4 linked regions of the Notamacropus eugenii genome follow. The protein of the gene in region 1 interacts with the protein of each later gene in a biochemical or structural test. Links are inferred from orthologs where the notes say so. Each region holds a gene or a part of one and is shown in the gene's direction. Other genes may lie near its edges.

The links.
Region 2: the proteins of CUL3 (region 1) and KCTD17 form a complex in vitro, tested with the Homo sapiens proteins (3 studies listed by BioGRID). The link is inferred for Notamacropus eugenii from reciprocal best matches to the Homo sapiens genes CUL3 and KCTD17.
Region 3: the proteins of CUL3 (region 1) and DCUN1D3 form a complex in vitro, tested with the Homo sapiens proteins (3 studies listed by BioGRID, with this or other methods). The link is inferred for Notamacropus eugenii from reciprocal best matches to the Homo sapiens genes CUL3 and DCUN1D3.
Region 4: the proteins of CUL3 (region 1) and DCUN1D4 form a complex in vitro, tested with the Homo sapiens proteins (2 studies listed by BioGRID, with this or other methods). The link is inferred for Notamacropus eugenii from reciprocal best matches to the Homo sapiens genes CUL3 and DCUN1D4.

Annotation. Positions count from the first base shown.
Region 1 is NC_092877.1:323,403,344-323,411,517, reverse strand, and holds the start of CUL3 (cullin-3), read left to right. Parts: upstream 1-4,972; 5' UTR 4,973-5,133; coding exon 5,134-5,199; intron 5,200-8,174. UniProt on the Homo sapiens protein: Core component of multiple cullin-RING-based BCR (BTB-CUL3-RBX1) E3 ubiquitin-protein ligase complexes which mediate the ubiquitination and subsequent proteasomal degradation of target proteins.
Region 2 is NC_092874.1:294,156,439-294,164,424, forward strand, and holds the start of KCTD17 (BTB/POZ domain-containing protein KCTD17), read left to right. Parts: upstream 1-4,806; 5' UTR 4,807-4,931; coding exon 4,932-5,180; intron 5,181-7,877; coding exon 7,878-7,986. UniProt on the Homo sapiens protein: Substrate-adapter for CUL3-RING ubiquitin ligase complexes which mediates the ubiquitination and subsequent proteasomal degradation of TCHP, a protein involved in ciliogenesis down-regulation.
Region 3 is NC_092874.1:398,218,977-398,226,806, forward strand, and holds the start of DCUN1D3 (DCN1-like protein 3), read left to right. Parts: upstream 1-4,706; 5' UTR 4,707-4,805; intron 4,806-4,821; exon of another isoform or gene 4,822-4,887; intron 4,888-5,165; exon of another isoform or gene 5,166-7,830. Other genes in the region: LYRM1 (LYR motif-containing protein 1), read right to left, coding at 4,163-4,318. UniProt on the Homo sapiens protein: Contributes to the neddylation of all cullins by transferring NEDD8 from N-terminally acetylated NEDD8-conjugating E2s enzyme to different cullin C-terminal domain-RBX complexes and may play a role in the cell cycle progression by regulating the SCF ubiquitin E3 ligase complex, after UV damage.
Region 4 is NC_092877.1:103,461,322-103,469,271, forward strand, and holds the start of DCUN1D4 (DCN1-like protein 4), read left to right. Parts: upstream 1-4,754; 5' UTR 4,755-4,816; coding exon 4,817-4,991; intron 4,992-6,246; exon of another isoform or gene 6,247-7,118; coding exon of another isoform or gene 7,119-7,128; intron 7,129-7,950. UniProt on the Homo sapiens protein: Contributes to the neddylation of all cullins by transferring NEDD8 from N-terminally acetylated NEDD8-conjugating E2s enzyme to different cullin C-terminal domain-RBX complexes which are necessary for the activation of cullin-RING E3 ubiquitin ligases (CRLs).

The DNA of each region.
Region 1 (8,174 bases):
TACAGAAGTATGTATGCATAGCATGGTTCTAAGTTATATGTGTATTTATGTGTATATATACACACATATAAATATAAATTAAATATTTTTCAAATGGTGGCCTTCTCTAGTGTGGGATGGGGGGGGAGGGAAAAAAGAAAAAAAGACAGATTGGCACTTAAAATGTAACCAAAAATTTTTCAAATGTAACTTTTTAAAAAGTATACCAGATCTGTAATAACTTTACTATTTACTACTTGCATAACTATAATTGATTGGGGTAGTAATTAACAAGTGCTACTATGAATAGGCATATATAGTAATATTTAGATATATGTGTATAAATATATTTTAGGGCTTTTTTCTCTTATCTTCCTTGGAATATATGTGTATACACACACACACACACACATACACACACACACCCACACCCCTATGTATGCACATACATCTACATATGTGTGTGTATGTGTATACACCCAGTAGTGTGAAATTATTAGATCAAAATGTAAAAACAATTTAATCAATTTTTCTTAATTCCAAATTGTTTTCTGAACAGTTGGCCTAATTCACAATTCTACCAACAGTGAGAAATGATGTCAAAAAACACCAATGAAATATCTTAAAAAGAAAAAAAAGTGTCTTCGTTTGCCTGTCTTCCCATAGGCCCCTGTCATTGATGGGTTCCTTTTTTTAACATCTTTGCTACTTTGGGGGATGTGAAGTGAAATCTGGGATTTTAAAATGTGTGTTTCTTTATATGGTTGATGCTATTTAGTATCCTAGATTTAAGAGCTGGAAGGGACCTTAGAGATCAACTCACTCATTTTATAGATGAGAAAGCTGAAGTAGAGGAAGTGTGGTGATTTGTCTAAAGTCACCCATATAGTACAGACAGACAGACCTGGTGTGTGACCCATGTCCTCTGACCCCAAATTCAACACTCTCTCCATTTTATCACATTGGCAATATTTCTCTTGAAGACAATTTGCTCATATCTTTTAACTATTTATTAGGTAATGGCACCTAGTCTTATATGTTTATGTTTATTTGTTATAAATATTAGATATCAGATTTTGATGCAAAGGCTCTCCCCGCCCCTGCTCAGACTTTTTTTTTTAAGTCTGGATGCATTGATTTTGTTTATGCAAAAGCTAATCACACGCTGTTTTTTCTGAAGCAGCTGGTGGCACAGTGAATACAGTGATGGACAATGAGTCAGGAATATCTTGGTTCAAATGTGACAGTAGACTTCCTAGCTATATGACCCTGAGCAAGTCATTGAACCTCTCCTTGAGTTTCCTCAGTTGTGAAGTAGGGATAAAAAATAGCACCTACATCCCAGGGAGCTTTGCAAAACTTTAAAGCACTCTCTATGTAAATGCTAGCTGTTATTTGTAATGACTAAAGAGGTGTGTGTGTTTGTCTTTCGTTGCCAAAGAAGACCATGCCATCAGAGAAATAATGACATGACTTGCCCTTGACTTTGTTTTGAGTGAGAGAGGGCTGTGCAGGTCACCAGCCTCACTTCTCTTCCAGATCCATCTGAATCAATGACCAGATATTCTTCAGGATGACTGGAGATGACCCAGGATGAGGCTATTGGGGTTAAGTGACTTGCCTAAGGTCACACTGCTAGTGTCAAGTGTCTGAGGTGAGATTTGAACTCAGGTCCTCCTAATTCCTGCACTGGTGCTCTATCCACTGCACCACCTAGCTGCCCTGACTAAAGAGATAGTCAAGAAAGAAGGGTGGAAGGTGATCTAATTCAGAGACAAGAAACCTGGCCTCTAGTCTTGAGTGCTACTGTTTTCTAGTCAGTCAGATGATTACTCAAATTTCTATAGAGCTTTAAAACACTTTTTCCTCACAATTATCAGGCAGGTGCTTAACTTTACTAGTATCCACATTGCTGATAATGAAAGTGAAGTTTTAAGAGTTGAAAGGTTGGGGCTAGAATTTTTATCTGATCCCTTTGAACTCTACAAGTCAATTCATTTTGGTTAAGTTGTAAGCTTTTCTGTTATCTTACAAAGACCAGTGTCTGTCCCATCAAATCAGACTTGCCATTGGCCAAGTGGTTATTAAGATGGCTTAAAACACTAACCGACCATCTTTAAGACTGACAGATTTCTCTCTCTGTTGTTTAGTAGACATGTTTGATACAAGGATCTTTTCCTCTTACATGCTTTTTTCCAACCCCAGATTGCACATTTAAAGACCAAAGATGAAGTAGCTAGGAAACTCAGCACATTCTGCGGGTGTCCTCTATATGTTGGTAGACGGGGCTGTCATTTTCCCAATGTCAGTGCATGTTCAGAATGAACAAAAATATAGGTTGGCAAGCATGTGAGATTTTGGCAGCTACTCTCCTTGCTCTGCTTTCTCGGCTGGGTTAGGAATCTACACACAGAAAAGGCAGCACCCATAAGCTTTTGATGTAGAGGTCAAGGAATGGGTTGAGTAAGAGGAAGTACTAAGACTAGAAAGCATTTTCAATAATCTGATGATGTGCTACTTTTCTATAGAAGAAAAAAGCCTTCAAATTCATTATCTTCTTAGACTCTTACGTAAATTGTACTGAAGAGTAGTTCCCATTGCCCCAAAAGCAAAGAATCCAGATATAGAGAAGGTGATGGATTTCTACTACGAATGAAAGGACAAGCTATCCCATTATGACAACTTATTTTGGTTATTCTAGATCCAAAAATACATATGTAGACCCAAGCAACAGAAGGTCTTTTGAACTATAACTGTGTCCAGCTTAAGCAGAAAGAAAATATGAAAATCTGGATTTACAAAACAAACTAGGTGACTTCATTTTTACAAAAGGATTCCTTTATACTTCCTTTGGATAGTGAGATTCCCAAATATATTTAAAGTAGGGGTCAATTTTCAAAATTTGGATTTAAATGCAAATTTCTAGAAACAGCCTTGCACAATGTAGCTGGGAAGGTAGTTTTGACTTTGGTGCTAATGATCTAAAGGCATTCCAATGAAATAGGAGTGTGCTGCTGAAGTCATACAGTAAAGTCAATAGCAAAATACTGATTGCTGGTATAACGTAATAGGCCTAAAAAGGTAAACTTAATTAGCATCAGTATGCTCAGTTTCTTCCTTGGATCCATAAGAGCCTATGATACTTACATGGCACCCCTCCCAATCATACCTCATTGTTCCAGTTCTCAGATGACCTATATTTAGCCTCAGTAGTTACACACTTGCCTCAAGCAACATCCTCATTTCTCGTCTTTGTTTTGATTAGCAAAGAACACCAGCACAAACAATAATAAAACAGAACAATTTTTTTGCAACATGACGATAGACCAGTCAACAAAGTAAGGTTGAAAGCACAACACCCGGTAGTTTAGTTACTCAATGAATTCATTAACCTGAGGTAACTTCATCCTCCAAAAAACATGAGCTCCCTAAACAGGTCTGATCTCAAAAGGAACCAAAGACAATGTTTTCAAGTGGAAAGCAAGCTGCAGAAAACACTGGCAGGTTTTCTATGTGCAAATCTGAATTTCGGAGGGGCTTTAAATAGTCCTTTTCTAGAGCTTTTTGCAAATTTAAGAGCAGTTAGGCAAGTAAACAAAACCAGGAAGCAAAATTGATTATAATTGGAAAGTAAAACCAACGAATCAACCCTGGTGGAGCTCCTGAATGAGATACCAAAAATAACCAAAAAACAAACCCCAAGACAAAATTCCCAAACCTTAAGAGCTAACTAAAGAAAAATTATTTAAAATGTTTAATTTTAAAGATTATAAGTAATTGTGAACAGAATCTCAATAGTTTAAACTGTAGTTTCCATCGTGCGTCTACAACTCGATCCCCTATGTCTGCCTGGTTAGCACTTAGTTAAGGAAATTGACATGACTCAATTTGCTACAGTAACTGAAGACGATTTGTTTTCGGTCAACGCCAGGCCCCGAGCACCGCTCCCCGCACTCCGGGGCCTGGAGCCGCGCGCTGCCTCGGTGAGCCCGCAGGGAGGGGTCACCTGGCCGTCTCATCCTGGAAAGGCAGCTCTGGCTTGACCCCCACTCCCAACCCCCACCAAGCTGACAGCAGGGCAGGTACGTCCTCCTGTCTCCCACCCACTGGTTCATCCTGTTCCAGGATGCCCTAGAAAAACAGTCTCAGAGCTGGGACGCTCCCTCCCCGCCAAGGACTACGGTCTCCCCAACAGAGCCCACAACGAGGATCTCACGCCTCACCACAAACAGGGCCACTACTCCCACTTCCACGTGACCAGGACCTCGTTCAGTTCTCCACCAATCAGGAGGCACCGCCACCCCGAACCTGGTCTCGGACTCTCCAGTTTCGAGGACGTAGCTTTCCACTCCCCGCCCTCAACCCCTTCCCTTTCCCGCCCCGCCCCATAGGCTCCTCCCACTTCCCCCCGACTCCCCCCGCCCCCATCCCTCCTCCTCTCTTGGCTCATCCCAACCCGCTCGCCCGCCTCAGCGGCGTACCCCGCTCCGCCTCGAGCCGCTCTCGCGAGATCTGCGTACCCTCTTCCCCCTCCCCCCCACGCTGCGGCCGCCTCCCCCTCCCGTCCCACCCCCTACCCCCCTTCCCCCAATCTCTCTTACTCTCTGGCTCTCCTCCCTCCCTCCCTCCCCCCTCCACCCTCTGGGCCGGATCTTGTCTCGCTGAGGCGGAGGAGGAGAAGGAGGAGGAGGCGGAGGTTCGGCCTGCGCAGTGAGATGTTTGTCCGTCGCCGCCGCCGCCGCCATCGCGGAGGAGCGCGATAGAGGGAGCCTAGCCGCGAGTGACGGGCCGGGGGGAGGGGGAGCCCCGCGGAGCCGCCGCGACAGCGCAGCCCCCGAGGGAAGGCCGAGCCGCAGCCGCCGGGGCCGGGCCGGGGCCGGGGCCGGAGCCGGAGCCAGAGCCGCCTGAGTCGAAGCCGGGGCCGGGGCCGGAGCCGGGGCCGGGGCCGCGGGGGTCCGGCCGCCTCCCCCACCCCCGTCGTCCCCCTCCCCCTTTCCCAGCCCGCGGCGTTCGCCGCCCTATCCCGGGAGCCGCCGGCCTCTCCGGCCCGCCCGCCTTCGATGTGACACGGGCGCCCCAGAGCGCGACCTGAAGCCGCCGCCGCCGCCGGAGCAGCAGCAGCAGGAGGAGGAGCAGGGGAGGAGGAGGAGAACCATGTCGAATCTGAGCAAAGGGACGGGCAGCCGGAAGGACACCAAGATGCGGATCCGGGCCTTTCCGGTGAGTCTCTCCTCCGCGCCCGGGGCCGAGGGGCCGGGGGCCCGGCCGAGAGACGCACTCGAGGCCCCGGGCTGAACTCCCCCCAACAGGCCGCAGGGCCGGCCGCTTCCCCCTCCCCCCACCGCCGCCCCTCGGGCCGCGGGGCTGGAACCTTCCCGGCAACGGGGGAAGCTCGGGGGAGGGGGTGCCCCGCGGGGGCGGGCAGCGACGAGGGGGCGCCCCCGGGCGGCCCCTTCCTGGCAGCCCATCCTGCAGGGCCGGGCCCAGCCGGCCCCCGAGTGCTTGCGCGCCCCCCGCCTGCAGGCCCGGGGGCCCGGCCGCCCCTGCCCGCTCTTACGGGGGCTCCCGGCGGGGCTTCATTGTAAGCCTGGGCGCGCGTGTGTGTGCGTGCGTGTGTGTGTGAACTTTGAAAGGGGCATCGCCCGGCTCGGGGAGGAAAGTGCGGGAGAGGCTGCGGAGCCCTCGGGCCGCGAGCTGAAGGCGCTGCGGCCGCTGACAGGTGTCCCGGGGGCCACGTTGCGGCTCCGCGGAGCATCTCCTCCCGGGGCGCCGCACCGGCCCGGCAAGGCCGGCCTCCTGCACCGCGCCCGGGCCCCGCAGACCCGGCCCGGGCACCTTGGGCTGGGCTCGGGACAAACAGACGGCACCTGCCTGGCAGAGAGGTTTCTGAACGCAAAGCTGTGGTAACCGAAACTCCAGCAGAGTAGGGGTTAAGAATTGGGTCTTTTCAAGGTATGTGCATGGAGGCAGAGTAACGAGGGAGAGAAGTTCGGTTTAAGTTCCGGTAAGAAAAGAGCTTATTGTATGACGTGATATGAACAAGAGTTGTAAGTTCCTTTTTTTGATTTTTATAAACAAAGTTCATGTTTTTGGATTTGGTAGGAGAAGTGCCGGAGAACTTGAGAACCCTTGCTCCTGAACTTGGAAAATGCAGTAGTAGCAGTTAAAAATTGGGTATGGGGAGGCGGCCGAGAAGAGATAGCTCTATGGAAAGTTTAGGGGATTAGGCTGTATTGCACTACTTTAGAAAGTGTATGTCAGTCTTGTGCGGTAGGTAGGGCAAGTGTTATCCCCACCTTACAGATGAAAAAACTGAGATTCGCAGAGATGGTGACATTCTCAATGAAGGAAAGCCATTGATTGTGGATAAAAGGAGCTTTGCTGACTGACAGTTCAGGAAGGGAGCAAGGGAGCCTTCTTTATTGTTTGGAGTAAGATCCTGGTTGTACTGACAGATTGGAAAGGGGGCTTGGAGAGTTTGTAGTCTAAGTTTCTATTACAGAGGAGGAAACCAAGGCCCAGAGAGAAGAGAAGCTGTTTGCCTAAGTTCCCATGGGTCCGAGTGGTAAAAGGCAGGGATTTGAACCCAGATCTCCTAACTAAACATCACTCTCCTTTCTACTGTTTCAGTAACAGTCTTTGATGGAATTCATTAGCACCTTTTCCTTCAGAGAAAAATGGTAGTGTACTAACATTTCCATTGATCAGGTCTTAAGTTCAGTAAGTTACTGCATATTTAAATTTTTTCCTTTTTTTAAAATAAATCCTCAGGATTATCTAAGCAATTGCTTTTTAATTTTAATATAAAAGTCATTACAATATGTCAGATTTTTGTACGAAATAGTACAGTTTTCCAGCTTAACTTGTATTCAGATATATTATTAAAATACAGCAGCATTCATGTTTATAACAGATCTATGTTAGGATTAAACTTGGTTTGACATTCCTACTTCCCTTTTGCCTCTGGTACCTTTGACCATGTTCAAATCTTGAACCTATTGTTTTTACTTTAGCACTCCCCATTAAATTTCAGCTGTTGCATTAACAGAAGAGTATGAATATTGCTAATTAACAAGATTTTTGCCTTGTTGCTTGAAACAAAAGTTACAGCACCATCATGGTCTCATTATAGTAAAGATACTCTATTAAATGTCTGCTATTTGCTAGATCCTGGGACTGCAAAGACAAAAATGAAACAAATCCCTTCCTCAAGGAGCTTAAACATCTAGCTAAGGGAGACAACATTAGCATTATAAGCATATACAAATTGGATTTTTTTTTTAAAGACTGTATTTTGGAGAATGGCATTAAATGTAACTTGGGGATCAGGAGATGCTTCAAGTAGAAGTTAGCACTTAAGCTGTGCCTTGAAAGTAGCTAGAGTTCTGATGAGGGAGTGCAAGAGCTTGGAGAAGGGAGATGAGGCTCCTTGTGTGATAGAACAGCGAGAAGATTGGTTTGCTTGGACTGTAGTCTACTTTAAGGAGAGTAGTGTGAAATAAGATTGTAAATGGTTAGATGGGGCTAGGTTGCAAAGGACTTTTAAGGAATATTTTATTCTTTGTACTATATAACTATATATATAACTATATATAACTATATATAATATAATATATATAATATAAAATATAATATAATATATATAATATAATATATATAATATAAACTATACTTTGTAACTAGGAGCCATTGAACTGGGAGCCATTGGTGTTTATTCAAGTATATCACAATTGTGCTTCATAAATATTCAATTTCCATACACATTCACTTGTAATTTAAAAGAATGTTCTTTATCAATATCTAGTTCTTAAGTTCCTAGTTAGTGTGGCACCGGTGGCCACACGTTAATTACAGATAAGTACCTCTATTATAATGTATTTTGCTGATGACTTACTTATCTTCTGGTATAAAAAGTTCGACCGACTTTTCTTCTTGGTTAGCAGCTTTTACTACTTGAAAAGCTAAAGTTGGAGTCACAAGTCAGAAGTAGCGAATGAATAGAAATACCTGTAGAGAAAATGTTTGTGGTCTTATTTAAATCTGTTATCTCAAGTTTGACTGGAGTCGTAAATTAATAGAAATTGGGGCTTTAAGGTCTCAGAATTTCACTTCAAATTAACTTCATTACTCCTAGAGAGTTCAGATGTAAGAAGATTAATCAGAAAAGTTTTTTTTTCACAGTTTTTAGTCTTTTC
Region 2 (7,986 bases), on another chromosome or scaffold:
TCAGTCACAATTCCTTCATCTGTAAAATGGGTATAAGAATGGTACCTCCCATCCAGGATTATTGGAAGGATAAAAAAAGATTACATCTGTGCTTTGTAACCTCTAACACACTCTGTAAATGTTAGCTATTAATATCCTCTTATTTCTTCCCCCACCAGATATTTTCACAGTTAGAAGAAAAGATTCTTCCAGGGTATTGAAACAGGTCTGAGGAGGAGGTTGCTATTGCTAGAATGAATGAAGACTCTCTGGCAATTCTTTGCTCTCTTCCCTAAAGAAGCAGCTCATGTAGAGGAAAGAGCCTGGGAGCTGGAATCCAAACACCTGGGTACCAGTTCCTGCAGAGTCACTTAATAGCTATGTGAGCCAGGGGGTAGGTCATCTGACCTTTGTCTCAGTTTTTCATAGCTTCCCATCAGATTCTGAGATGGATGAAACCACAGAGATAACGATGGCTCATTTTTCAATAGGGCTTTCTTCAGCGAAGCCCAGAAAGGTATAGTACTATACCCACTGATGAAGAGGAGAGAGGCAGAGAGGCAGAGGCAGAGAGGATAAGGAAATTGCTTATGGCTATAAAGTTATTAAACAATTGGGCCAATTAAACCAACAGGTCAGTCTTCTGACTGTGAAGCCTGTGTTTTTTCCACCATAGACCATGGTGCCACTTTGGATCTGCAAAATGAACAGGTCGCTCTGGATGTCACTTACACATTCTGATATCCTCAGGAGTTCTCAGGTCCCTTCCAGGTCAAACTTTCTACATTTTAAAGTTCTTTCCAAGGCTGACATTGCAGGTTATTCCAAGGTCCCTTCCAGATTTAAGATCCTGTTTTCCAAGGTTTCTTCAACTCTATCATTCTATGTTGTGTCATTCTCTGTTTTAAGGTCCCTTTCAGGGATAGTTTGTGTTCAAATCTTCAGCATTCAAAGGTCCTTTTCAATATTGGTTGTTGTTCTTCATTCTTGAAGAGGACCAAAATGACATCACCATGATAAAGTGAAATTTCAGTGTGTCCGACTGTGGCTGATCAGACCAATATGAGCTCGCAATGCTCTACCACAGATAGTCCATGTGAATATTTGGGGTGGATTTCCCAAATTTGTGCATCCTGCGTTTACTTTGTGAAGTAAATTTTTCAATATTGGTGGTCTGTTCTATGGCTTCTTCCCACTCTTACATTCTATGCTATAAAATTCTATATTCTAAGGCTTCTTATAAGTGTCATATTTTATTAGACATTAGAATATCATTAGATTTTTTAAAATTAGAACATCTTCTCTTCTAAAGTGCCTCCCAGCTGTGACATTTTGTTCTAAGGTTCCTTTCGTCTATCTCTTATGTTGTCAAGTTCCTTCCAAAACTAATATTATGTTATTATTATGTTGTTGTTTTTAGCACATCTTCTGTGTTTTCTCCAGTCCTATGGTGTCATGTGTACCCTCTATCGTCCTTTAATCACTGACATTAACTGCTGATTCTGTAAAAAAAAAAAAACACCTTTTAAGTTGTACTCGTTGAGGGCAGCCAGATAACCTGTTACTTTTTTGGAAGGCACTGTGAAGTGCTTGGAACTTGGTCAGACATCGAAGACACCAAGGTCATCCAATGAATCCTGGGCCATCAACAGTCATCGTGACTTTTATCGTGCCACTAGACTTCCATGACTCAGGAAGACATAGTAAGGCCAATGATTTTGGGAAATTCTGCCTCCCTTAACTTACTTGACTTGTGCGTGAATTGAATTTAAGTGAGACAGAGTTTTGAAAAGTTGTCAGTTGATTAAATCCAATTCATGCACAAGTCAAAGCATTGCCTGTGATATCATTGGTCCTCTTTGAAAATGAAGGATGAACAGCATTGTTTTAATGTCTCTTCTAGTCTAATATTTTAATTTTTTGACTTCTTTATTGTGGCTTCTGCTTTTCTAAATCAGCACTTATAGTAACAGGGCTCAAAGAGGATTGATCAGAATGGGTAGTTTTCCCAAGCAGCCACAAAAGCTTGTTCCATTTTCTCCTTTGCAGCACTGGAGGTCAGGATAAGTCTGAGGCGACCACAGAAGTTAGGAGATGACTGTTGCTGTAGATGATGTCACATTGTTTAGTGTAACTGATATTTGCATGACTTCCCTCACCCTTTGTGTTTAATTCCTTAGTGGCCATTAGACTTGAAGTGACTTGAAGGATTGCTTCTGCTGCATTGTAAAGGTCAGGCTGGTAGAATAGATTATTTCGTCATTACCAACCACAGTTACTAGGACCTGGACAAGCTGACAAACCCACCTCCAGTCTTCTGGGAAGGCAGAAATGTCTGGACAACATAAAGCATGTTCTCTGCACATATGTACATAGTTTTAGCTTCCACAACCCCAAGCCAGATGTGTAAATTTGGAGTGAAATTCTGTCCTGTAAGTTCTAGCACCACCATTCAATTGAAGACTATCTCATAGGTGTTACTGGAACATGGACAGGTCCTACTCCCTCATACAATGTGCATTCTGTCTTATTTGTACTAAGGATTGTCCACAAAGCTCCAACATTTCTCATTTCTTTATTTGGTTTTTGGGAGGCATGGGGTAGCTTGAAATTGGATTATTGTCTCTTTGGAAAGGCACAAATACATTCTTTCTGTATCCTTAAGAAAAGATGAACATTTATGTAGCTGTGACATCGGATCATCTGCATCTAGCATTGTGGTCTGTTCATCAACTTTTGGAATCATCAGCCTTGGGAGTGCCATGCCTGTAACTGAACACACAAGTCTGACAGTCTATCCCTAAAGATATAGGCTCCTCTCACTGTGAATTTTTCTCCTTCTGATTCATTATCATCCGAAAGGTGAATATAAAATTCTCCCCACTATTACGAGGTAGCATGGAAATTCCCTCTTTCTATGTGTAAATACCTGGTGCTGTTTGTGATCGAAGTCAACTAAATAAAGACACTTTTGTTCCTGAAGTTATGCATAAGCCAGCATTTTTCAATGATTAATCCTTTTTTTTTTTTTTACAAGCATTGGAGATGATTTTGATCTGTTTACTGAGGAGCTCACCAATGTCCTCACTGTTGTCATAGAGCAGAGGTGGGGAGCCTTTGACCTTGAGGCTACCTATGGTCTTCTAGGTCCTTGGGTGCAGCCTTTTGACTGAGTCCAAGTTTTGTAGACCACATCCTTTTATGAAGGGGATTTGTTCTGTGAAGTTTGATTCAGTCATAGGGTCACATTGGAGGACCTAGAAGGCCACATGGGGCCTTGAAACCACAAGTTCCTCACCTCTGCCATTGAATATCTTTACAGATGACATGAAATGCTTTCACTTGTCTAAATCAGATACATATAGTATTTTGATTGTGCAATAATTCTTCCCTTCCAAATTCAGCTACTGCATTTTGTGGTCCCTAGTTCCTGCTCCAATAAATGCACATGGTTGAGATTCGTGTTCAGAAGAACCATCATGTTCCATTTGGTCTTTTTTTTCCCTTCCATCCATTGCCCGTAAGATATACACAACGAGGAGAACAAAACCCCCTTTTTTCATTTCCATAAAACTTTTGTGCAGCTTTTACATGAAGGATTAGTACGGTTTCATCACCTCATACCTTTAGATAGTTTCAAATTGCTTCCCTAGTGAGTTGTTAAGATTGGACTGGTCACCAAATTTCCTTCAATGCCATGGTACTTCGAGAACATGTTAAAATGATCCATGACTTGGTACACTTCTGATGCACCTCAAAACACCTCAGCAGTGTATCATACTTCTTTCCTTTGGAGATCATAATGGCTCTGAAGAACTATATAACGTTTCCTTTTCAATGTCTCATACAGAATTTCAATAACTTAAACAGAAGAGAGAAATACATTTTTCTTTGGTGTGAAACCCAATACCACTGGACAAATCAAGCTGATCACCTTATACCTAAGATACCATTCTTTTTGGAGGCTGGAGTCTCAGGAAATTCTGACCCTCTTCTTTGCTCTCCTTCCAAAAATGCACAGCTCAACCACCATGATGTAATGAAATGGTCTAGCACCAGCATAAGAGCGTCAGGCTCTTCCTCCATGACTCCAAGCTGCTCCAGAGAAGATTCCAATTTTTTACCTTTTAAAATGCCCTGAAGTGAATCTACCATTCTCTGTGTTAAGGCTCCTGCCAGTTTTAACATTTTATCATCTTATATTGTTTCTAAAAATGTCCTTTCTAGCTCTTTCCTTCTATGATGTCATCTCTGTCTTTACTTGCCAGAAGCTGCCTGGCACAGAAGTTGAGGATTCCATCCAATCTTTCCCTGGTATGGCCTGAAGGTGATTTGCTGCCTACTTGGCTGGGGGAAAGTAGAAGCGCTTCAGCCAAATTAAAAAATTCCACTGATGCCATCGATGCAATGTTGTATGTGTGTGTGCGTGTGTGTGCGCGCTTGTGTGTATTTAAGATAATGGTGAAACCAAAAGAGTAGCTTGCTAAATTAAGTGGGAGGATGAGTGTAAAGGAATACTTCCTTAGGGAGATTTTTTTTTTTTTTTTGGTGGGGGAGAAAGGTTTAGCCTTTAGGGAAGACTTCAGGGCCTCAGTGTAAAGATCAGCCTAGAGAGGGCTTGACTTTGAGGCCCAGATGAGGTGGGGGTTTGGCTGGCAAGTATCCATCACAGCCAGGATGGCCAAGAGTCAGGCATGAAGACCTCGACTCTAGAATGGACAAAACTGGATGAGGCGGGTAAGGCAAGGACACCACATGGATGAGGTCCTCTTGGGCATCCCTCCTCTCTCCACTTCCAGGTCCCACCTCCCCCCAAGCCCAGCTAATTCAGCCCCCCTCGCTCTGTGCCTCCAGCAAACTACAGCTCCCAGCATCCTCCAGCGCCCAACACCTGCCCAGGGCTCCTCCACTTGGACTGCAGGGGGAGGGATACAGAAGAGGAGCGCAGAGAGATGAGGATGGAAGCGGGTGGGGAAGTGCAGGCGGCGGAGCGGGACCGGGGGCCCCACGCGCCGCCACTTGTCCCCGCGACCGGCCCGGGCGTTGGGGGAACCGCAGCCCGTGCCCCGGGCAGCTGGGGCAAGTGGGTCAGGCTCAACGTGGGGGGCACGATCTTTCTGACCACCAGGCAGACGCTATGCCGCGAGCAGAAGTCTTTCCTCAGCCGTCTCTGCCAAGGGGAGGAGCTCCAGTCTGACCGGGTAAGGCTGGGCCAGCGGGGCTGCGGGTCCGGGCGCTGCTCGCTGTGGGGGCGCGCCTCTGTGAGTGTGCTCAGGCGAACGAGTGTGTGTGTGTGTGTGTGTGTGTGTGTGTGTGTGTGTGTGTGTGTGTGTGTGTGTGTGTGTGTGTTTGGGAGAGGCGCCTCCTTTCTGCCTCCGCAGCCCACAGCTGGGAGCCCCCCTTCTCCCCTTGCCACCCACCCACCGGCCCAGGACAATAACATAACCCCTCCTCCCTTCCTCTTCACTTGAAACCGGAGGCGGGGAATCGTTAGGAAGCCAGGGCTGGGGGCTGGGGTGGGGGTTTGGGGGGAGTGGCATGCTATTTCCTTCTCCATGGCAACCCTGTCCCTGGCAGGAGGCCCCAGACCATTTGGGAGAAAGCAGCTCATTCCTCTTCAAGCTGTTTCCTTCCTCCTTTCCTCCCTCCGCCAACCTCCCGCCCCCCCCCCCCCCCTCACCTCCTCTCCCCCAGAGCTGTTGAGTGGGGAAGGTTCTGAGAGAAAAAGTGAGTAAGTGCATGTGGGAAGGGGCGGGGGTGCGCTTGGGTCCCTTTTTGGCCTTGCCAAACACCTACCAACTCGCAAGTGTCTGAGCTTGGTTCTCCCCAGTTTTTGCAGGGGGGAGGGATGCGGAGGAGGAGTCAGCCTGGGCCAGTGAGCTGCTACAGGAGATCTCGGGCAAAAGATGGAGTAAGGAAGACTTCAGTGATGGGATCCGAATCAGGAAGGAATCTTTAAAGAGCATTAGCGCAGGAGTCGGGGGTCCTGAGTTCCAGTTCCACCTCGGAGGGTAGCTACGGGTGTGATCCCTATTCCAGTCACTTAATCTGCCTGGACCTCACCTTCCCAGTCTGGAGCGGATTGCACTCAGTGACCTCTGAGGTCCCTTCCAGTTCTGATCAGATCATCCAGTCCACCTATCTCTCTCAGTTTTACAGAAGTGGAAACTGAGTCCTCCCTTGGGAAAGTGACTTGCCTAAGATTACACGGATAATTAGTAGCAGAGCCAGGAATTCTAAACCACGTCTGCCCTAGAAGGAGACAGTGGAAAGAACCCGGGAGCAGGAGGCATCAGAACATCCGGGCTGCAGTCCAGGCAAAGTAGATGATCATTGCTGTGACCTTGGGCAAGTCACTCAACCTCTATGTTTCTGTTTCCTCCTCTGTAAAATGGAAATACAGGGAGTACCAAAAGTCTTAGTGTGGTTTTAGGCTTTAACTAAGGCTTAAATGTGAAATGCCTCCTGTATCTCCACCTCTGGGCTCTATAGAAAGGAGTATGTAGGTAAGTAAAGGCAAACTACAAATACAGGGTATCAGGAAGGGTATCATTTCCTCTGAGAATGGAAGTTATAGAAAAGGGCACTGGCTTTGAATCCTGCCTCTTTCATGTATTTGTGATCTTGGGCAAGTCACATACTGGCCTCAGTTTCCTTCATCTGTAAAATGAGGGGTCTGGAATCAGTGAGTTCTAAGGTCCCTTTCAAGACCCCAATTTCAATACTTATGCCTTCCCTGGACCTCCCAGGGAAAAATATTATCCTAGACTCTTTTACTCTTATATGTATCCCCTTTTCTATTCTGACATTGCCACCACACTAGTCCAAGCCCTCATCACTCCACTTCTGGACTATGGTAGTAGCCTGCTACTTGGTATCTGGCTCAAGTCTCTTCTCACTTCAGTCTATCTGCCATTCAAATGTCAAATGGACCTTCCTAAAGTCTAGGTCTGACCACGTACTGCCCCCCCAGCCCCCAGTCAATAAATTGCAGTGGCTTCCTATTATTTCCAGGATCAAATGAGAAGCCTTCATTTGGCTTTTAGAGTCCTTCATGTTTGGACCCCTACCCATCTTTCCATTCTACTTGCACTTTACTCCCCATTGTGCAATCCAGTATAATCCTTCCATCTGACTCTGACTATTTTCTCTGGCTATCCCTCACACCTGCAATGCTCAGTCTCCTGGCCTCCATTCCCTGGTTTCTTACTCTCATCTTCTAGAAGAGGTCTTTCCTGGGCATCCTCAATGCCAGTGTCTTTCCTCTATGATAAGCTCCAATTTGTGCTGTCTAGAACTTGTTTGTACCTAGCTGTTGGCGTGTTATCTCCTCCACCAGATGGAGAGTTCCTTGAGGGCAGTTTGTCCTTTGCCTTTGTATCCTCAGTACTTAGCACAGTGTCTGGCACAGAGGAGACATTTAAAAATGTTTGCTGACTAGACTCTACAGATGGATAACTGAGACAAACTCTGTGCAGAGACCTAGTCTAGGCTAGGCTATTACAGAAAAAGGACCTTAGAAATTATCTAGACCATGTTCTCCATTTGACAAATAAGGCTGCTGAGCCCCAGAGACATGATTTGCCTGTGGTAAGGAAGTGAATTAGGATTGAATTTGACTTCCCGCTGTACCACAGTGGTGCAATTACGTGTGTGTGTATGTGTGTATGTGGTTTGTTTGTGTGTGCCCATGAGAGAGAGTGTGTGTGTGCCCACGTGTGAGTCTGATAGCATGTGAATGTGTGTGTGTGTGTGTGTATGTGTGTGAGCATATATATGAGTGTGCCTTCGATCATGTCACTTTTTAATAGCATTTTCAGGGGGCAGAGGGAGATGGAGAGTCCTGGAAGTGGGAGGGAGGACAGTTACTTTCCTCATCACATCTTTCTGGCCCCTAGGATGAAACAGGGGCATATCTCATAGACCGGGATCCCACCTACTTTGGCCCAATCCTGAATTTTCTTCGTCATGGCAAACTCGTTTTGGACAAGGATATGGCTGAAGAGG
Region 3 (7,830 bases), on another chromosome or scaffold:
AATTCAAATTTTAAAAAAGACAAGTCCTTTACAACAGTTCTCAAACACGAAATACAAATGGGGACACTATTATCTGGGAATTTTCTCAAAAAGATACATCTCAATCATAGCAAATAAATGTACCAGTTTCAAATGTTATGGATTTCTCTATTACACACACAAGACTATGCATGTATTGGGGAGTTCTCCAATCAGGCTACTGTAACCTGGATAGTAGTTGATTTTCCCAGAGAGAGAAATTTACATTAAAACAGAACCTGGGTCCCAGATTCAAAATAAATGGAGTAGTTATTTTCCATAATGGCACATTACAGGAAAGAAAAGGCAGTAGTCAGGTGTGAACAGTTATCCTGAATAGAATATGGAACTAGCCACCAACAGATGAAAGCTAGCCCAAAGTTAAAGATCAAATCCACGTGCTTTAGAACTAAAGAAATGTACTGTGAATAAACAGGATATAATTAATACTGGTCAAATAAGAAAGGCCTTCTCTGAAATCTAGGAAATATAGATGGGAAGTACAAACACTAATATAATTCTTTCATTTGTAATGATTTGTCTAGCAAAGTTAAGTGTGAAACTGACAAAAAGCCTTTAGTTATATTACTAGAGTTGGGACTTTTTTAGCATGCAACTCAACTTTCTAATACAGCTAAGGTATTACACAGTTTCTGTCATTTCAAAAAGATTCCTTAAATTAGCTTATAAATTCCAAACATGTTTGATTCACTAAATGCATTTTAAGTGATTTCTGTCTGCCACATGACGACAAGGATGTCCACATACAGACTGACCATAAATCACCACATGATAAGCTGTGCTCTGACCTACAGGAAACGCCAAACTGTCTTTCCTGGACTCTCATGTGTTGTCATAGGTGGTACAAACAGGACAACACTGTTCTTGTGGGCTATGAGCCTGAATTTAATTGTTCAATGAGAGATTTCTGTCACCTTCTCTCTTTATGGGGCCTAAGGTGCCAAGTGCTACGTTTGCCCTAAACAAACATGTAAGTGCCTACTATGTGCAAGGCATAGTCTTACGCTGGGTATACAAGGAGGAAAAAACTTCCCGCCTTCAAAGAACTTTCTATGGAGTAGAAATAACAGAGACACAGCAAGTAAATACAAAATGAATTCTAGATAAATACAAATTATGAAGTGGTGAAAGGAAGAGCAATTATAACTGAGGAAAAAATTAGGAAGTGTTGGAGAAGAGGGGCCTCTCAGGTTGAAGCTTGAAGGGAGCTAGGAATTCCAGAAATTGGCTGTGTAGGGGAACTACGCAAAAATGGAGTTAGAAACCAGCTTACCAAGGAGTTAAGGAATGAAGAGTGAGGAAGCAAGCAATGAGTACAGATAGCTTTTCCTATTATTCCTTTAGGTTCATTACATCACCAACAAACAGGAAAATTGGGACCTTGTTATCACTACTCTCAATCTACAGGGAGGATTTCAATTTTTGCTAGGATCAAAAATTAAGGCACTTAGCAACATCCATAAAACAGCACTGGCTCCTTGATTTCTAGTTGACAGATAAACTAAATTATTCTGCTTCTAGGAATAGCGATGTGGCCATTGCTAAACTAGGCCCACAGGATGAAATCTTGCAATCTCCCTCAGTGTATATATTGGTTTCAGCTACTTGAGAGATCTAGAACCATGACTAGGGATGGAAGAGAACCAGATTAAAGGTTCTGGCCAAGACCATCTTAAATACCCAGACCAGTAACTTTCTTGACATGCTCTCATACTTTACAAATGCCTTTTGGATGTCTCTCCTTGGATGTGCTGTACCATGGCCCCTCAAACTTTATATGCTCAAAACTGAACTTATCTTCTCTCCCCAAAACTGCTCCTGCTCTTAACTTTACTATTTTTGTTGGTGTGGTCCTACTCTTCCAGTCACTTTGGAAGAATGAAACCTTTGAAGATGAGTCACCCAAAAATCTTTCCTTCTCATCTCTTTCATCTTCTATTTCCAATCAGTTGCCAAATATTGTCTAGTCATTCCTCACATTTATGCCCTCTTCTGTACTCACCCTTTCTATGGATATGTAGTCAAAAGACCTGGGTTCAAATTCTGATTCTTTCATTTTCTATGTGGTGCAAGTCACATCCCCTCTCAAAGTCTAATTTTCCTTATGAAGGGGTCACCCTAGAGGGGTTTAACCCCCCTTTTAAACTTTTTTTAATGTCATAATTATATTTCAACATAATTGGTTTCCTTTGTATTCTTATATCTTTTACTATATGCATTTAAAAATATGAGAGAAAGGTTCTACAAGTTTCACCTGATGGCCAAAAGGGGTACAAGGAAACAAAAAAGGTTAAGATCATCCTGGCCTGGATGGTCTCCAAAGTCCTTCTCACAGTACTAAGCTTCTAGGATCCTAGTTTTAGGGTGCTCATTTTTTAATTACACTATTTAGCAGCCTCTTATTGTTCTTCCAATCTGCAATATTCCTCCTTTTCCCATTCTCCCCCTTCCAACTGAAGTTCATCAAAATGTGTCTTTCTAATGCACAAGTCTTACAACTCTTTATACACTCCACTCCAGTCACAGTGGTCTTCTTACACTTACTTGCACACAAAACATTCCACCTCATGACTGTGCGTTTTCACTGGCTGTCCCTCAAGCCTGGAATTGCTTTCCCTTCTCATCGCATCTCATCTCCTCTCCTGGTTTCCCTGGCTTCTTTAAAGTCCCAGCTAAAATCCCAACATCTCACAAGAAGCCTGTTCTGATCCTCCTTAATGCTGGTGCCTTCCCTCTGTACATCATCTCCAGTTTATCCTGTATATATCTTGTTTGAACATTTTCCCCTGATTAGACTGCAAGCTTCCTGAGAAAAGGGACTGTTTTTTTTCTTTCCTTTGTATTGCCAATACTTAGCACAGCAAACCTGCTTGACAAATGCTTGTCAACCTGACCAGCCTTTGGAGACAGACAGCACTTTCCAAATTCCACCCAACTGTAATTCTCCAACCAGATGAATTCTTTCTCTCCCTGCCCTCAAGGCTCAATTCAGGTGGTCCTTCACACACCTTTACCTGGTCTAAAACACTCTTTCTTTCATTGGGCGCCCTCCATCCCCCCACCTCCAATTTTGTGACACACAAGTCTACTCTGCTGCCTTCCCCACTTCCCAGGTGTGAGCTCCTGGAGGGCAGGGCTGAGACTGTCCTTCCCAAACTGCACACAATTGGGACGCACTCCCATCCCCCGTCAGTACGATACCTTCGATGTGACCTTCACAAACCCTCCCCTGGCTAGCCTTGGGTTTCTTTGGCTCCTCACCTTCCATCACTCCCAAGGGTCCGGCAGCACCGAGTTCATATCCAGCCTCGGACACTTACTAGCTGTGCGGCCCTGGACGAGTCACTTAACCCTCTTTACCTCAGCCTCTTCTTCCATAAAATGAGCTGGGAAAGGAAACGGCCACAAAGCCCTAACAGGGGTCCCGAAGGGTCGGACACGACCGAAGCGGCTCAGCGACTCGGCACAACTCCCAGTCTCGTCACTTAGGACCGCTCCACACCCCCCTCCCCGCCGCGGCCCGTAAGCTCCAGGAAGGCGGATCGTCGGGATGGTTCCCAGTCTGCACCCCGGGAATCCTCTGTCCCTATGGGGCTCAGCTCCCGCGCCACTCGCTCCCCCAAACCTGCTCCAAGCTATCCCTCCAGCGCCGCATTTCCTTCACGGACTGGGTCATCCCCGCCCCCACCACTCCCGCCAGACAGTATACACAGCACCGCGCAGCGACGCCTCCGCAGAGTGGACGCTCCCGGAGGGCAGCGGCTCACGGCCCTTCGCCCAGGCGTCCCTAGGCCCTAGCGTCCAAGCAGCTACGAGGCCAAGAAGGAAGAGGATAACTGGCGGTCCGAGCCCGGCCCAGAGACCCCCGCATCCCCACCCCCACCCTCACCAGCAGAGGGCGGTTGGATAAAATCCGCGCAGGTAAATGACCCCGGGGAAATGGCTGCCGCCCGAGCCCACGGGCCACGAGGGCTTTAGGGGGAGGGGCAGGACACGCCACCATGTATCCTAGCAACGCGGCACCAAGCCACGGCTCCCACCCCACTCCCCTGCCTCCAGCCCTAGCGAGCCAACCGCGATCTCCATCGCCCAGAGTAGACCACCTTCACTTCTTAACACTCACGCTGTGTCCATCACGCCTGCCCCCCCACCCACAGTGCGGAGAAGGAGAGGAGGGCGTGTCGGCAGTCCTCCGGAGCCGATGGGGACACACCGGGGTCTGGCCCTCTAGGCCAGGTGGGACCGAACCATCTGAGGAAACATAGGTGGGGAGCATCATTCATAGACAAGAGGAGGCTTGAGTCTCAGACCTCAACCCGCCGCGAAATTTACCTTTCGGCGTATCCGCTAAAAATACGATCGATCTTTTCACCTTCCTTCTCTTCCTCCCAGTACCCATCTCGCGTCTGACCCCACCCCCTACCTAACCACGCTGTGGTTTGGTCCAGTTCCGCCCAGGCGATTTCCTCCTCCACCACCCCGCCCCCGACGGGGAGGAGGTGAGAAGGTCGGGTCGTTGCCCTTACTTGGCGACAGCTTCGCACGTTTCTGCGTGCGTCACTCCGCAGTCTGCCCTCCTGCTCCCTCGGCCCTCCCTCCCAGAGCTGCGGGGTTACCGGAAGTGATGATGCAGGAGGAGATGGAGGAGGCGGGGCCTCCGGGCGACCGCCGCTGGTGGTGTTGCAGATGAGGAGGAGGCGGCTGCGGTGTTGGAAGAGGAGGAGGCGGCGGCGGTGGTGTAGGGAACTAGAACGCGAGCGGAGATGGTAGGTGGTTTGGACCCTCTGGGCTGCCGTCGTTTCCAGAAAGGGTTTGGCTGGCTGGGCTGGAGGATCCTCGGGAGCAGCTGTGAGTTGGGTGGAGTGAGGAGGGGGAGTAGTGAGGTAAAGCTGAGGGGGGCGGCTGTGGGGGGGAAATGGGTCGACGGCTGGTCCTAACTGTTCACCCTGGAGGTGGCTGTGAGGACAGCGTTGTGCCTAGTCACCTGGTGCTCGGGAAACTTACCTTTTCCTCACCCCCCTTGTCCTGACCACCCCCCCAGCCCCCACTCTAAGGCTTTGGGCGGGGGTGGGGGGATGGGGAAAGGGGGCCGGGACCCTTTGGGGTTGGGTGTGTGTCAGGGAACTGGAGCTACTGGGATAATGTGCCCCAGGTAAGAGCTTTGGGGTGCGTGCCTCAGTGGGGGGTGGGGTGGATGAATTCTCCAGTCTCGACCACCCCCCCCCCCCAACTCTATTCATAAACTGTAGTGTTCAGGAGCTCGGATCCGAAGGCCTCTCAGCACCTTTGCAGTAAATGATAAACATCTGTGCCTAGGGTAATGGGGCTGGAGCCTTTGGCTATATCCTGTGTAGGAAATGAGATGTGGTGACAAATATTATGTTGGCTTTTTTTTCCATTCCCATTCTTTTCCACTATGATCCCATGATCCCAGCTAATGTGTCTGGGTGACTATCCTTATTATTTTATAAAGTGACACTATTAGCCTGGTGCCGGTGGTCACCGTCTTTCAAATTTGATGTTTAGCCTTGGGTTTTAATTGACTCAGAACTGCAAGCTTTGTACCAGCGGTCATAGGCTCTGTCACTCTGGGAGCATCACTCAGTGCCTAATTGCTTCAGATTATAATGAATACTTATTCGTTTGAAAAAAATCTGACCTCAAGGTTTCGGAGTTAGGGTGATCCCTTATCCCTTGCAAGGATTTAAATGGCATCCTAGCCTAGTAATCAAAGTCTGCTCTAAATACTTTGTGTATGAGGAATTTACACCTTGTCAATTATTTCTAGAATGATTTGGTGTTCTTCTAATTCTAGATTCTCTTTCTCTCCACCCACACTTGATGATGCACTTTAGAGAGCAGAAAACCCCATATTACTTTTTTGTTTCCACAATTGGACAACAGCTCTTTATTATTTTCTTTTAATGTGTTTGGCACACAAGACTTTTAAGGCCTATAGAACATATGCTGATTTTTTTCATTTTATTTATTTAGATGTGTACATAGCTAATCTTAAATCTTTTTGGTTTGGTTTTGGAGAGGGAAAACAATAACTAATGGGAAAATTAAAAATAGTTGTAAAGAAGGCATTTCTTTTGGTATCTTACTGTATTAAAGAGAAAATAAATGAAGATATAGTGCCTTCACAGATCATCATTTGGATTTTGGAGCAAGGTGCCAGCCTCAACTATGTAAAAATTCCTGTTTTGACACTAACATTTTATTCATCTGGAAATATGAACTGCATTTCTGGGAGACTTTAAGAATCTGTGTCCAAATTTCTTGCTATTTCTTGATTGAAACATTTATCCATGAACTACATTCTTCTGTTATAAGGTTTGGCCACTATATGTATTTTTAAATCTACATGTATGTATTCCTTGAGGAAGCAGTGAGGCACTGAGTGATGCTCTCAGTGTCACAGAGCCTGTGATCCACTGGTACAAAGCTTGCATTTCTGAGTGATTAAACTCAAAGGCTAAACATCAAAGTTGAAAGAAGATGACCACTGGCACCAGGCTAACAGCGTCGTTTTAAAAAATAGTAATGAAAGTCACGCACACACTTCCTGGATCCTACCCCCAAATCAGATTACAAAGTTTTTTTGCAGCTGTAATTTACATGAATATAGTGTTTTGTTTGATAGCCTGGATAAAATAAGTAGTCAAGATGGTGAAATATGACGGGTTCTCTTATATTTCCATTATACTCCATCATTACTCAAGTAGGCTTTTAAAATTGTAATTAAATTTTTCTTTTACTGTTGGACTGTTATCAGAAATTAATCCTGTGATGAGGGCTAAGTTAGAGGCAGTAGTCACCTTGGTTTTCTGTAACTGATGAGTCTTCCATTCTTCATAATTACAATTCAGTAGGATGTTAATTTATGTAGTCTTTTTCTTAAGTCAAGTGTTTATATAGAATTTGCTCTTTTAAATTATGAAAAACCTATATGCCTCCTAGTATAGGAATCGCTGTTGACAGCTACTGTATAATTCTGTAATTGTATTTTGCCAAGTAATACATGCTGCTTTATTCTTATAAAGTATAGAAAGATGACACTACTGACTTATCATCAGAAGGATTGGTGCTCCAAGAATTGGCTTTTTTTTGTAGTGAGAATGGTTCAGTGTTGACGGTCTCATATTCTTAACTGGTCTCTTTTGTGACTGAGGGACATAATACCTAGGCAAGAGGTATCTTTTGGTATTCTGACTGGATTAAAGGCAGGGTGTGTTGGAGCAAGCTTGGACTCAATGCAATGACATTTACACCTCAGAAATTGGCAAATGATACAAATGAGGGCTTGATTTATTGTTTTGTTGATTGTCTAGATTTAAGAAAGTGCTGGAGAAAATGTTAGTAATGCAGATTAAATTTAAAAGTGTGTTGTGAATACATTTCCTCCATCCCCCCAGAGAAATGGTTGTTAAACATTTACCGACATACCACTGACTAAGGAGAGCCTTTAGGAGATGAATCCCCTGTGCTAGGGGTCCATACTGTCAGTGGAAGAGCAAAGTTAATTGCCTAATTTGGGGCTTGAACTGGAAAGACAACATGGTATAGCGTGTGGGACTTCAAGAGTTAAGAACATCTAAGTTTGAATCCTGCCTGCTACACTTGCTAGTTGTGTCATTGTGGGCAAGTTATTTAACTCCTTTGAGCCCATTTGTAAAATGGTGTTAATAATACCTGTAGTAGCTACTGTACTTGCTGTAGGAACAAATGAGATAATATATAAAGAATTTTGTAGGCCTTCAAGCCAGCTATTATTACTAGTTATCATTG
Region 4 (7,950 bases), about 220 Mb from region 1:
TTAAGTTTGGAATTAAGGTTGCCAGAAGAAATATCAATAATCTCAGATATGCAGATGATACCACTCTGATGGCAGAAACTGAAGAAGAATTAAGAAGACTCTTGGTGAGGGCAAAAGAAGATCATGTAAAAGCTTGCTTGAAGCTTAACATAAAAACAAAAAACCCCCAAAACCTAAGATCATGGCATCTGATCCCATTACTTCCTGGCAAACAGAAGAAATAGATGGTGTCAAATTTTATATGCAGTGACTAAATCACTGCAGAAAGTGACTATAGGGTGGAGCCAAGATGGCAGAGTAAAAACAAAAAATTCCTTGAGCTCTCCCCTAAAGCCCTCTAAATACCTGTAAAAAAAATTACTATAAACAAATTCTAGAGCTACAGAACCCACAAAATGACAGAGTGAAACAAATACCCAGTCAAAGGCAGTCTGTTGACAGGAAGGATCTTTCGCACTGGACAGGGAGCAGCAGAGTGTAGTACAATGTGGGCCACATGGGCACAGACAGGCCAGAGCAGGTCTTTGGGGACTGAATCATTGGCAACTATGGCAGTTTTCAGACTTCTCAATCCACAAATGCTATAAAGGTCAGTGGGAAAACTCTGTGGGACCTGGGTGAAAAAGAAGCACGTCTTCTGGCTTGACCCTTCCAGTTGCAGCCCCAGGGTGGTTGGGGGTGGTGGCAGGGCCATGGTAACTGCTTCTGGAACTCTGGGTCCACAGATGGTGGGGGATCGAGCAGGCTGATGCAAAATCCCTAAAGCCTGGGACAGTACACCCGCCCCCACGGGAAGAAGAGTCCTACCTTGACAGAGGAAAATCAAATGTTTGGCTAGGAAGATGAATAAACATCATAAAAGACCTCAGACCATAGAATCTTACTTTAGTGATGAGAAAGATCAGGGCATACAATCAGAAGAGGATAGCAGGGTCAAAGCTCCTACATCAAAAGCCTCCTGGAATATGAATTTGTCTTAGGCCATGGAAGAGCTCAAAAAAGATTTTGAAAATCAAGTAAGAGAAGTAGAGAAAAGTTCAGGAAGAGAAATGAGTGATGCAAGAAAATTATGAAGAATAAGTCAACAGTTTTCTAAAGGAGACTCAAAAAATACTTAGGAAATTGACACCTTAAAAAATTGATGAACCCAAATGGCAAAAGACGTTTAAAAAGCCAATGAGGAGAATATGTTAAAAAGCAGAATTGGACAAATGGAAAAGAAGGTCCAAAAGTTCACTGAAGAAAATAATTCCTTCAAAATTAGAATGGAGCAAATGGGAGCTAATGACTTTATGAGAAGTCAAGAAATTATAAAACAGAACCAAAAGAATGAAAAAGTAGAGGACAACATGAAATATCTCATTGGAAAAACCACTGACCTGGAAAGTAGATCCAGGAGAGACAATTTAAAAATTACTGGACTACTTGAAAGAGCCTAGACATCATCTTTCAAGAAATTGTCATGCCCTGATATTCTAGAATTAGAGGGTAAAATAGAAATGGAAAGAATCTACTCATCACTTCTGGAAAGAGATCCTAAAAGGAAAACTCCTAGAAATACTGTAGCCAAATTCCAGAGTTCCCAGATCAAGGAGAAAATATTGCAAGCAGCCAGAAGGAAATAATTTGAATATTGTGGAAATATAATCAGGATAACATAAAATCTAGCAGCTTCTACATTAAGGGATTGAAGGGCTTGGAATGTGGTACTCTGGAAGTCAGAGGAGCTAGGATTAAAACCAAGAATCATGTACCCAGTTAAAGTGAGTATAATTCTTCAGGGGAAAAAATGGATTTTCAATGAAATAGAGGACTTTCAAGCATTCTTGATGAAAAGACCAGAGCTGAATAGAAATGTTGACTGTTAAATACAAGAATCAAGAGAAGCATGAAAAGGTAAACAGGAAAGAGAAATCATAAGAGACTTATTAAAGCTGAACTATTTACATTCCTACATGGAAAGATATTTGTAACTCATGAGACCTTTCTCAGTATTAGGGTAGTTGGAGGAAACAGATAGGTAGACAGGTGACACAGGGTGAATTGAATATGAAAGGATAATATCTAAAAATAAAATTATGGGATGAGAGGAATATATTGGGAGGAGAAAGGGAGAGATAGAATGGGGGGTAAATTATCTCACATAAAAGAGGAAAGAAAAAGGTTTCACAATGCAGGAGAAAAGGGGGGAGGTGAGGAGGAATGAGTGAACCTTACTCTCATCAGATTTGACTTAAGGAGGGAATAATATACACACTCAATTAAGTATCTTACCCTACAGGAAAAATTAGGGGGGAATGATAGAAGGGAGGTGGGGGGCTAGTCAGAAGCAAACAGTTTAGAAAAGGTACCAGGGTTAAAGGAGAAAATAGAATAATTAGGGAGTGGGATAGGATGGAGAGAAATAGTTTAGCCTTTCACAACATGACTATTATGGAGGAGTTTTGCATAACTACACATGTATAATCTATATTGAATTGCTTGCCTTCTCAATGGGGATGGGTGAAAAGGAAAGAAGGGAAAGAATTTGGAACTCAAAGTCTTAAAAACAAAAGTTTAATTGTAATTGTTTTTACATGCAACTGAGAAATAAGACATACAGGCAATGGGGTATAGAAATCTATCTTGCCCTTCAAGAAAGTAAAGGGGAAGGGGATAAGAGGGGAGGATGATAAAAGGGAGGGCAGAGTGGTAATCAGAATGCATGCCATCTTGGGGGGAGGGAGGGGAAAGATAGGGAGAAAATTTGGAACTCCAAAGCTTGTGTAAATGTGTTGAAAACTAAAACTAAAAATGTAAATCTTAAATAAAAAAGTGACTGCAGCCATGGAATTAAAAGACACTTCCTTGCTCCTTGGAAGGAAATCTATGGCAAATCTGGACAGGAAAAAGTGGAGACAAAAGTTTACATAGTCAAAGCTATGATTTTTACAGTACTCATGCATGGCTGTGAGAGCTGGACTATAAAAGAAAACTCAGAACTACTCAGAATCAGTGCTCTCGAATTGTGCTGGAGAAGACTTTTGAGAGTTCCTTGGATGGCAAGAAGATAAATTCCATCAATACTTAGAGAAATTAACTCTGACTCATCATTCGAAGGACACATAACAAAGCTGAAGCTTAAACACTTTGGCCACCTAATGAGAAGACAGATTTCATTGGAAAAGACTGATGCTGAGAAAGATTGAAGGCAAAAGGAGAAGGGAATGGCAGTGGATGAATTGGATGGATTGTGTCGTAGAAGCAAGGAACATGAACTTGGACAGACTTGGAGAGATGGTGGAGTCCAGAAGGGCCTGGCTCTCGGTGCTCCACCAGGTCTGGAAGAGTCAGATGCGACTGAACAGCAAACGGGATAGGGCTTTACAAGTCTTATTTCAAGTTAGGCTCTTTTACAGAGCCTATCCCTTTTACAGAGTTTATCCCTCTTTTACAGTGGGGGGCGCTGAAGCAGGCAGAGGTTAAGTGACTTGCTCAGGGTCACACTGCTAGTGCCTGAGGTTGTATTTGAACTCAGGTCATCCTGACTGCAGGCTCGACATTCTGGGCCACCCGGCTGCCAGATCTGAGTCGGGAGACAAGAAAATCAACCGAACCTTTGTTAGGCTTACTCTACATCCAGTACCCTGCTAGGCGCTGGGGACACAAAGCTAAACCTGAGATATTGCTTGCCCCCCGGAGCTCACAGTCCAGCACTGTAGGAGACAGAACCTACTTACATCCAGCACCCTGAATGAGAGGTTCGAGTACTTGTCGGGGAACTTAACCAAGTGCATGCTCATTCCCAACCTCTTATGGGTTCAAAATTGACACTTTAGTTTTGGAGGGAAAACACTAGCCGCTGGTGGGCATCCACACCTTCGAGGAGCGATGCATGCTTGGGTATGCTGAACAACCCGAAGGCCAGTCAGACAGGACTCTCCCGGACCCTCCCCTGCTAGAAAGGCAGGGTTGTCAAGGGTTTTAAAATCTCCAACAATGGAGGATATGCTTGGTTCTAGAGGTAATAGTAAGGTCATACCAACAAGCATTTATTAAGTGCCTACTGTGTGCCACGCATTCGGGAGAAGACAGATTTGTCTCGTGATGAGGTCTGAGACTTCGGGGACAAACGGGAAACCACAGCTTTTCAGACTCGGGGCTCTTAAGAGGGCCCTCCGCCTGGCCCTGGGAAGAGCAATGCCCACCGAGAACTGCCGGCTCTGCCCGGGGGCAGCTGCAGGTCTCCGGGAGAGGTCCGAGCCCAGATTCCAAGGCGCCCCCAGGGCAAAAGGCTGGGCAGAGGACTGGACAGGGCGGGGTGGTGGGTAGGGGGTGGAAGGAGCCCGGGATGGACAGAGGGAATAAGGCCAGGAGCTGAGTTTTCAGATAAAACGGAATTGACTCGCGTCTTCCCATCCCTTTCAGGCCGAGGGGAGGGGGCGGTCCTAATGGCCCCCGCCCCTCCTGGCTCTTTTGGGACAGTTTCTTGGGCTTTGTCTCGGAGGCCAGCCCCTCTCCGTGTGCTGCCTGTTTCTCCACCAATCCCTAGCCTGGGGACCCGGGGGAGGGGACTACTGCAACCTGTCCCCCAAGCCTTGCCCCTTTACACGCGCTTTCGGAGCCCCTGGGCTGATTGACAGCCGCCGGGTCCAACCGGCTAGTGGCGCAGGAAGCCTCCGGCGGGGGCTGGGGCGAGGACCGGTCGCAGGGGCCAATAGCCCTGGGTCTGAGGGGTGGGGCCTACTCTCCTTCCTCGGACGCCATCTAGCGGCCCCTCGCCTCGACCATCCACCAATGGTGGCAGAGGGGGCGGTCCGGGCCTGTCGGAAAGCCAATGGTGGAGGCGAGGTGGGCAGGCGGGGGGCGGGCTCTGAGGCCACGGCGGGTACCCTGCCAGGAGCCGGAGCTGCTGGAGCCGGCGGGGGCTTCGGGAGGCGGAGAGCTGAGGCCGGGCCGGCGGGAGCAGTGGAGGAGCTGCACGAAAATGCACTCGGATGCTGCCGCTGTCAGTGAGTAACGGGCCGGGAGCGGGTGACGAGCTTCGCGGACAGGGGGCGGACCGACGCCGCCCGGTCTTGGAGACGGACCCCCGCACCTTCCGCCGGCCCCAGCCGTTCCCCTCCCACACCGACGGAGCCCTCTGCCCCACCACCTCCGTAACTGCCTCCCGGGTTCCTGGCCCTCTCACGGGGGACTGCCCGCCGTGACGCTGCGGGTAGTCCGGTGGAGGGGGGGAGGGCGCGCCCAGGCCGGCATCCAGGCGATGGGGGTGGGAGGGCGAGGGCGCCAGGGGAGGGGGAGGGGCTGGCTTTCTTTGGGGAGTTGGGGGGCCAGGTGCGGGAGTAAAGGGGACCCGGCGGGGATGACAGCGGGGCATTAAGGCCGGGAGGGGAGGTACTGTGCTCCTGGAGAGGGTAGCTTGTGGGGAGTGGTGCTGGTGGAGGAGGGCAGTAATGGGGCTCGAGAATGGGGCTGGGGGCTGAGGACCTTAACGGGGGCGAGGGGTGGAGCCTGTGGGTAATAAAGGGGAGGAGGAGGAAGGTATTGGGACGGATGGCTTGAGGACACCTGTGTGGGGGGCGAATGAGGGTGGTGTGTTGGGGAAGGCAAAATATGCGGGTGGGGGTGTTGAAGGGTGAGGGATAGATAAAATCAGCGAGTTGGGGGGGACAGCAGAAGGGGTCTGGGTAGGGGGGACCCTAGGAAGGGGAGGGGCTCGACAGCAGAAGGAGTCTGGGTAGGGGGGACTCTGGGTAGGGGGGTGGGAGTGCTGAAGTTTGTGTGTTGTGTGGTTAAGATAATAAGAGAGGGGAATGGGGCAAGATAGCTTGAGGAGTTTGGGCATCTGCGTGGGGAGGGTCGAGGTTTGGACAGAACAATATGAGGGGGAGGGGGAACAATGTAGGGATGGGGACCGGGGGACTGTGTGGGGAGGGTTCGAACGGTAGGAAGGGGCAGGACTGACTCGGAGAACGGCACGAGGGGGCGGGGTTCTAGGGAAGAACGGTATGATGGGGGATGGGGAAGCAGCCTGGGGAATGGGGGGTGGTGGTGGTGTGGTGTGTTGGGTGGGGAGAGGCTGGACCACTGAGGGAGGCAGGGGAGAGAAGAAGGTTGGGGATGGGGGGGGGATGGGGAAGCTGAGGAGCTGGACGGGAACTGTATGGAGGAGGGGAAGGGTTGGTTTGTTGGGTGGTAGAGGGGTACGTGGGGTTGGGGTAGCAAGGCGGGAGGGGGTCGTCGAGAATGACTAGGGGGGTGTTCCCAGTTCGGTGTACGGGATCGAACTTGGCCTCTCCGGCCCGGTCTTTGGGAGTGGGTGGGAGGGGTTCCCTCCCCTATCCTCCCCTCCCCCACGCCCTAGGGGCCTGGTGACCCCGGCAGCTGGCCCAGCTGGAGGCCGGGCCAGGGTCGGCAGCACCCAGGCATGCCAATGGGAGAGCTGAGGTGATGCCCCGAGAAGAGGTGGGGTGAAGAGGGACGGCCCCCGGCCGGGGGAGGGGTCCAACTCTCTGTGACCTAGGGTAATGCGGGAGAGGAGGAAGGATGAGGCTTGCGGGGGGCTGGGGAGGAGGGAACCCAGGAGAGGCGGTGACGGCCCCGGGGGGCGGGGGGCAATTGGGCAGGCTGCTTTCGTGGCGGGGCAGTTTCTGGGTCCCGGGAGGTCTTCGACTTGTGACGCATTTTCTAATGTTTAATGGGGCTGGATTTCCCATGACCTGACTGGCCGTAGGGCCCCCTCTGAGGCCGGAATAGCCTCGTGCCTTTTTCGGTGAAGGGCGGAGGAATTTTAGGGCTATACTTTAGGCTCTAGTTGCAGCCACGGGGTTTGAAGGGAAAGGTGGGTTCTGCAGGCATCATGGGAGCTGTAGTCTTGGCTGTGCCAAAACACGGTTGGGTTGGATGCACGTGGGTAGCTGTGGAGACGACTCCCAGAATGCACGGCGGCTTTTCTGACTTGCGGGATTTCTCCTCCTGTGGCTGGCAGCTTTGCTCCTCGGAGGATCCACCTGCGGTTCTAACGCGGGGACTCCTTTGCGTTAAAGTTAGCGTATCTTCGTCCGGGAATGTCAGACTAGGTCTAGTAGGTTCGCATTTGTTTCTTAAAGCCAACAACAACATCGGCAGTCCTTAAAATGTTAAAAGGTATTTGGATTACATTTGTCGTGTACGGTCATTGTAGAAGCTCTTACTTTGGGGGCCATCTACTGAAGATCAGTTTGAGGAGAAAACAGGCAAGAAGAAAATAAAATGAAATTATAGTTATTGTTAATTTTTCAAGTATAGTATGTGTGCTAGCTTGAGGCTGGATAAAAACAGGCACTGTCTTTTGTTTTAAAAAAGTATCTTTTTTCTCTATTAATATATTTAGTAGGCTGAATGTTTCCTTTTCACCAATGGTAGGTAAGGAGACCCGCTGCTTTCACCGTTGAATTGATTAGTAATTTTAATTGTTTACTTAGCCTTAATAAGCCGGGCTTCCAAAAAGATAGTCTTAAGGTAATTAAGTGATAGGAATGACTTAATTAATTTTACATTTTTTTGTTCCATTCATAAAACTAGCATAACATAAAGTATGGAGATGACAGAAGAAAGTTACTTTAATTGTAGCGTGGGAAGCAAATGGAAGTCCAGAGGGGAGATGGAAGACAAAGGACTGACAAAAGTTCTAAGTACTGTTGATTGTGGAAAGGTTTATCTGCAAGGGCTTTACATATCTTTAGTACATCCCCACTCATTTTATAGATTAGGGAACCAAGACCCAGAGAGGTTAAGTAATTTAAGTTCATTTGACTACTTAGGAGTGGATCTGGGACTAGGATTCATCTCTCTTGATTCCTAGGGATAATTTTTATTTCAGTACATTCATGCTGTTTTCTGTTAACATAGTGTGATGCATAAAGAACTACTTGGTAAATATTTGTTGATGAAATAAAATCTAAGTACTGTAGATGAAATTTACTAAGA